Linked DNA regions of Mus musculus. The protein of the gene in region 2 binds, or shares a complex with, the protein of the main gene of each other region. Links are inferred from orthologs where the notes say so. Each region holds a gene or a part of one and is shown on either strand. Other genes may lie near its edges.

What was found.
Region 1: the proteins of Orc3 (region 2) and Orc4 are in contact, whole or in part, in a cryo-EM structure (PDB 7JPO), measured with the Homo sapiens proteins. The link is inferred for Mus musculus from reciprocal best matches to the Homo sapiens genes ORC3 and ORC4. Residues at the interface, in NP_036513.2 of Homo sapiens: Thr227, His260, Arg261, Leu262, Leu263, Pro264, His265, Ala266, Ser269; in NP_001177808.1 of Homo sapiens: Pro370, Lys374, Glu377, Gln381, Ser392, Gly393, Asn394, Ser395, Gln396, Arg397.

Annotation. Positions count from the first base shown.
Region 1 is NC_000068.7:48,935,640-48,939,292, forward strand, and holds part of Orc4 (origin recognition complex subunit 4), read right to left. Parts: intron 1,890-3,653; coding exon 1,813-1,889; intron 1,224-1,812; coding exon 1,133-1,223; intron 1-1,132. UniProt on the Homo sapiens protein: Component of the origin recognition complex (ORC) that binds origins of replication. DNA-binding is ATP-dependent. The specific DNA sequences that define origins of replication have not been identified yet.
Region 2 is NC_000070.6:34,590,856-34,594,508, reverse strand, and holds part of Orc3 (origin recognition complex subunit 3), read left to right. Parts: intron 1-1,334; coding exon 1,335-1,448; intron 1,449-3,653. UniProt on the Homo sapiens protein: Component of the origin recognition complex (ORC) that binds origins of replication. DNA-binding is ATP-dependent. The specific DNA sequences that define origins of replication have not been identified yet.

The sequences.
Region 1 (3,653 bases), on a different chromosome or scaffold from region 2:
AAAGAAAAACTAAAGAAAATCTCACTCCAGGATTTTCTCCACAAAACAAAATTCATGCAAAATCCTTGCAATTCTAAGGAGAGGAAAAACAAAAACAAAAACAAAAACACCTGTGAGGAAGCCTATAACCCCAGGCAGTAGATACATTAAGGAAAACAATCAAAACCACAAATGTATTTTACATAGTTCTTCTGTTGAAAAAAGTTGTTAAATTAAAGCAAAAGAAAATTATAAAAACCAAACAACAACAAATGGCAAAGAATTGGAAATTATACCAAGTAAGCAGGAGGACCAAAGCAGGCTAGAGTAAGACATCTTATAAGAAATGTATAAATTCTTGAAACAGTAATAAAGTTGTCAATTACCAAGTTATGTTCTTTAAATGGAAATGGTAGTATAAATAAAAATTCTTCATCTTACATAATATAGAACCAACATGTACTATTTTAAAAAATAGAAACAGTTTTAATTTACTATCTTAACTATTTTTAAGGTATAATAATATGCCTGAACAAAATATTAATTTGCTATTACAGAATACTAGAAAAATACAATTTATACAACTTAGCACATTAAAATTTAATAGTAATACATTCAAATGTTGATGTATTTGTTTTGTATATTGTAAAAAGGAACAGATGAGAGGGAGAAGAATTTTTGAGATTAACTAAGTCAGAAGAAGAGAAATATGACATAAATACTGATGACCTTGACATGAAAGATTTGTTTGAAGGTTAAAAATAAATTGTAAAACTGTGAAAACTGTAAAAAGGGGTAAAAATGCTTGTGGGGAATCACTGTATGATGATGACCCGTGAAGTCCTGAGTTGGGACCCTCAGAGCCCATGTATGTATGGAAGCATGGACCTTATACTCTCAGTGGCAGATGGGAGGATTGAAATCCCTGCCCCAGTATAGGGCAATATACCAAGCAGAGAACATAAAAAGCATGATCAACTCCCATACCACAACCTAACTTTGTAGAATACCTGCATGGATTTTGTCATTTAAAAGGAATAGAAAACAAAGAATGTTGCAAGACAATAAAACGAAAAACATTTTTAGTGTATCTGATATAAAAACTTCAAATGTGTATTAAAGCAATGATATATGAGAAACTTAAGTCTTTTACTGTGGTCTTTCCTGATCCTCGTGGTCCAACAATGAGTACAGAATTGCTTTCTCCATAGATAGCAGTTCTTTTGAGTAGCTCAATCAAATGCCTAAAATGATACGGAAAGGCAGAATTAATAAAAAAAAAAGGTGAAATAATTTATTGGGTCATACTTTTAAAAGGCTAAACCTGAAAGTCAGTATTAATTTTACCCTTTTGGCTCTCTAGCCCAAAGGATCTAAATTTTCCTGCATATAGAAAATACACAGAAAAGAACATTAGCCGCTAGAGATTCTCTAGAGACCAGAAAAGGAAATCCAGGAAAGTGGGAATTCATTTGGTCTCATAGTGGGAGAAGATAAGGGACAATTAAGCTAACTTTTAGGTCCTCTAGGCTTAGAGAGAATTATTTTTGCTAGCACTTTGGTCCTTATCACCTGAGCTGGCTACCAGGTGTTAAGTACCAGAATTCTTTCAATAATAGCAGGTAATTAACACAAAAGAAGTATTAGGGACCATATGTCCTTATCAATAACATTATGAGACATTAAGTACTTACATGTGTTCCTGTTTTACAATATTGTTTCTATATATAAAACATAACTTCATCATAACTTAAGATAATGCATATTATCTTTTCAAAACTCAGAGAGGAAATGAAAATGAACTTATAATGGAGGAGCTGATATCAGACTCACTTGTATTGTACTTGCACTCCAAAGAGGTTGCTATGTGGACTATGATGACAAAATCTTTCACGTAAAATTCTTTGTACCTGATAAACATAAGATGAACAGATGTAATAAAAATATTACACATGTAATAAAAGTGAATGTTAAAGCTTATTTGTAGCAGCCAGGAATTAAATACTAACTGCTCTGGCACCATTTTTCTGAGTTATAAAAATAGATTCTTCTTTTATCTAGTGTCAGGTAAATAATGAGATGTCACGTCAGTGAATGGCAGAACTACTTCTTTACATCACCAACTCAAAAGCTGTTTCAGTGCACGGGCAAAGCAATCTAACCTAACAGTGCCAGTGCAACCACACAGTCTCTCCTAAAATGTCTTGGCGTCATAACAATCAGTCTGGACCACCTGCCCTAAAGGTCAAGATTCCACAGGAAACTAAGCTTGGAGATCTGTGTAGGTTTAAATATCCATTAGATTCTGAGCACAGAAACACTACAAGGTTACTATTCACAGCTTAAAAGTCACTGCAAAAAAGGCAGAAATATAAATTCAAATAACAAACTACAAAACAAAACTAGTTCAATCTACAAGCCAGTATTTAATTATGTGTAAGAAACGACATTTAACTAGACTATAGAATAAAGAATTAGACCCAGGGATGTAGTTCCATGACAGACATACTGCCTAGTATATATGTTCAGACCCTGGTTTCTGTCACCATAACTGCAAAAATAAATACATGAATTAAAAGAAGAAAAACCTTAAAACCATTATTCCTTTTCTGGATCTGGTGCTACTAGAGTAATCATTCAAGGACAATCCTTAGGTAGCTGTCTAAGACCTGAACAAATGTGCTGGAATAAAGACTGTAGCATTCTTTGCTGCTTCAAGACAGAGTCTAGAAGTCTAGACTCTGCTTTCAGAGTCTAAAAGTACCAAAGATATAGTGAGGGTTATTTTTTTAAACACATATAAAAGGATAAAGTTAATGATTCATGTTTATTATTTTAGATGAAGCACAAATAATGGAATTAGTGTCAAAGGAGTCATTTAAGTCAACATTAAAAGATCAAGTCTTTTTCAGATCTAAACATCTAAATAGAGAATTAACACTTTTCTGTCAGGCCTATTTTGAAGATTAAAGCAGTATTATCTATAATACAATATAGGAATTATATGAGTAATAGTTGATTCCCATTAATCACTAAAATGGATTTTTAGACATCTAAAGAATCAATGAATTATATCTATCATCCACAAGGTTAATATAATATTAATTGGAAGAACCGTCCACTTTACATACAAAAAAAAAAAAAAAAGAGCTCCTTATCTTTCTTATCTTTTAAGCAGTAATTTTTCTTAAAAAAGAAAAATGAGGTCAAGATTGAGCAGATAGCTCAGTTGATAAATTGTTTGCTGTGCTGAAGCTAAGTTCAGATTCTCAACACCTACATAAAATGCCTGGCACAACAAGCTCATGCCAGTAACTCCAGACCTGGAAAGTGGAGATGGGAGACTATGGAGCTTGCTGCCCAGTCAGTCTAGCCAACTGGCAAGATCTATGTCCAGCAAGAGACCTCATTTAATAATATCTTGGAGAATGACAGAGGAGGATACTTAGCAACCCTTACTGGCCTAGAGACACATATCTAACACATATACATGTATTTAAGAAAAAAAAAGTGTTTTTAAGTCTTTCAAATTTAACATTGCTTTTTAAAAGTAATGTGGCTGAGGTCAATGCAGATCCAAGTTAGGGTAGAATTAGCATGGCAATTACCTATCAGATTGTAGACTTCATATGGAAAACACACATATCTACACACTTAGCATGCTTAAGATAATA
Region 2 (3,653 bases):
AGGGTGTTGGATCTCTACAACTGGAGTTACAGATGGTTGTGAGCCATCTTGTAGGTGCAGACAATGACCCACAGTCCTCTGGAAAAGCAGCCAGGGCTATTAACTTCTGACCCATCTCTCTAGCCCCAAAAGTTTTTGTGGACTTTGACAACTGTCATATTGCTCTTGACAATAGCCACTAAACTTAGACTATAACTGCTATAATGTTTCTGTGTAATAGCAGCATGATTACTACTGACTGCCACGCAAATCCATTCTCAGTTCCATTAAGAAACGTTTGTGATGGTTGTATTGCGTAGTAATGACAACCTGTATGTTCACCTATGAACTGCTACTACACTTTGCTACACACAGATAGCAATCTGATTTATTGACATGTTAGGAAAAAGTCTGTCACTTTGAAATTAATTATAGTCAAACGCAGTTGCCTTTGTGTGGCTATACTTTTGGTTAAAAAAAAATCTGCTAGTATAAGGTTTGATTTTCAGATGTTAAGCATCACTGTAGACCATTGAACACTAACTAAATACAAAATTTCTCTGTATTTCCAAAAAGAAAAATCTTCATTTTGTGTTTTTTTGTTTTTTGTTTTTTGTTTTTGTTTTTTGTTTTTTGTTTTTTGTTTTTTCGAGACAGGGTTTCTCTGTGCAGCCCTGGCTGTCCTGGAACTCAATCTGTAGACCAGGCTGGCCTCGAACTCAGAAATCAGCCTGCCTCCTCTACCTCCCAAGTGCTGGGATTAAAGGCGTGCACCACCACGCCCGGCTCCATTTTGTGTTATTTTATAGTACATAGCTTGCTACTTTTTACTAATTTGGATTAGTAGGGAGAAAAAAATTTTATCTGGTAAGAAAATGGTACATTTTTTGGTATCTTCTAGTGGAAGACAAAGGGTTATATATTTAATATGCGTTATTTGAAGATTAGGAATTTAATGGAAGTTTGGTAGACAACTTTGATTTAGAGGGTAGTTTGAGGATGGGAGTGGTGGTTCTTGAGAGAGAAAGGCAGGCAGATCTCTGATATATATTTTTTTTAATTTCTACTTTTATTTTTATTTTTTGGCTAGATAGCCAGTCAGAGATAGCCAGTCAGGTTTAGCGGATGAGACCCTCTCTCAAACAAACAGGCATTGTAATACAAATTGCTTTTTGGTGTTTTCAACTTTAAATAAATACGGTTTATGATTTGGTTGGCATTTGACTGTAGAAAAAAATATAGCTCTGATTGCTTCATATTTATTGTGTCACAGTATAATTTTTAGCCTAGCTATTTATTTCATGTTCACGAGGAGGGCCGACCAAGAACTCTGACTTCCATCTTGTCTCTTTCAGCTACTTCTTACACCTCAGTTTCCCTTTAAACTAAGTAAAAAGGCATTACAGGTTCTGACCAACATCTTTTTGTATCATGATTTCTCAATTCAAAGCTTCATCAAAGGAATTAAGGTAAGAAAATCTGAAATTGATGAATTTGAAAGTGTGCTGTCTAATTCTAATTAGTTAACATTATTTCAGATTGAGTAGTGTGATAACTAAGGCATTTTAGTAGCAAGATTTAGAAAAAGGAAATTGCATTTTTTTTCTAGGTTTTACCTTTCCTTTATTATGCTGAAGTCACCTATAGAAGACAGAATTAGGATTGTCAGTAATGGATGCATTCTAGCTAGTCTTAACCATTGAGTGTGGCAGAGAGGGAAAGGACTTATTTTTGTTTAGGACTTGATGAAATTGTGGTGTCTTTTTACCTAAGAAATGCCATTAACCTTTGATGGGCCAGAGAGGTAACTCTTTAGCTTTGTGTCTTGGTGTCTTTTTGAGTTGGTTAAATGATAATATTAATTACTTTTCTTGACAACTCCCTAAGTTGTCAAAGTATAGTCATTGTGAGTATATGGCAGTTGTCAGTGTCATTAAGACTTATGCGTTTTAACCTTTATATGTAAGTTACATATGTATATGTTATAACGTTTATGTGTAAGTGTCATGGTTTGTATATTCTTGGACCAGGGCGTGGCACCATTTGTAGGTGTGGCCTTGTTGGAATAGGTGTGACTTGGTTGGAGTAGGTGTGACACTGTGGATGTGGGCTTAAGACCCTCACCCTAGTTGCCTGGAAGTCAGTCTTCCACTAGCAGCCTTTGGATGAAGATGTAGAACTCTCAGCTCTGCCTGCATCATGCCTGCCTGGATGCTGCCATGCTCCCACCTTGATGATAATGGACTGAACTTCTGAACCTGTAAGCCAGCCCCAATTAAATGTTGTCTTTTGTAAGACTTGCCTTGGTCATGGTGTCTGTTCGAAGGAGTAAAACTGTAACTAAGACAGAAGTTGGTACCAGGAGTGGGGTATTGCTGTGAGAGGCCTGACCATGCTTTTATTTGAAAGAATGTGGATTTTGGAACTTTGGATTTGGAATACAGTGGAATGCTTTAAATGGGGCTTAATGGGTCATCATAGTAGGAATATGGAAGACTTTGTTGCTGGGAATAATTTGAACTATGTTGACCTGGCCCAAGAGATTTCAAAGGAGAAGAATTTCAGAATGTGGTATAAAGACTATTTTTATGGTATCTTGGTGAAGAATGTGACAACTTTTTGCTCTTGTCTGAAAAGTCTGCCTGAGGCTAAGGTGAAGAGACTCAGATTAATTGCATTGACAAAGGAAGTTTCAAAAAAGCCCAGCAAAGACTTTGTTCTCTGGTTAAGTCTTATGAAGAGAAGTTTGAACAAGCATAGCAAGCTTAGAAAGGAAAAATATAAAATATATAGTTCTACTCTTAAAGGGGTACCAAGAAGTAAAATGGAGCAAAATCCTGTGTTCTAGGAGATAATAGATTAAGGGTATGGGATCTTGGAGCAAGATCCTACCCAGCTAAATTTAGATCCAGGCATGGTGGTACACACTTTTAATCCCAGGAGACAGGCATGCTGATCTCTGCGTTCAAGGTCAATCTACAGAGCAAGATCCAGGACAGCCAGGTTTAGGCAGTGAAGGAGATGGAAAACAGAAAGCCAGTGATAATGTAATAGTACAAGGGGATCATTTTCTAGTTCCTGCAAGCAGCAGAACTTGGCAGCTTCAGCCATGTGGCTCTGGCTCTAGAGTTAAGAATAGAAGAAACTACTGGGACAATTTATGCTGGGTAGCTGGAGCTAAGAAATTAGCAGTGATTAAGAAGAGACCAGCATCACTGAGGTGAAATCTGGGAATTGTTTTCTGGGAGCGCAAAGAAGCTGTGTTCCAGAGATAGCCAAGTTTGTACCTGGTGCTGCAGTTGGACTTGGTAATGTGTAAGAGTCACCCAGGTGGTACTGGTTTTGAAGGCATGAAGATGTCATGAAGAACAGCTGAGGCTTGGCATTGTGAGAGGTCATGGAAGGCCATTGGAGAAGGTGCAGCCTCAGTTGTAGTTGATGGCCCAGGACTGAAGGGGTCATACAAAAGATTTGAGGTGTGGCAACATGAAGAGAACCTATGAAAGGCTATTGGTGAAGTTGAGTTGGAGTGGAACACCCCAGTGTATTGGAGATGTCAGTACCATAGGATGATCACCAAGAACAACAGCCGTAGTGGAGTGGATCAACCTGAGCTTAGAGTGCTACAGAGGGCAGAGCTGGAGAAGTGATGCCAGCCCTTAAGAGGAGTTGAA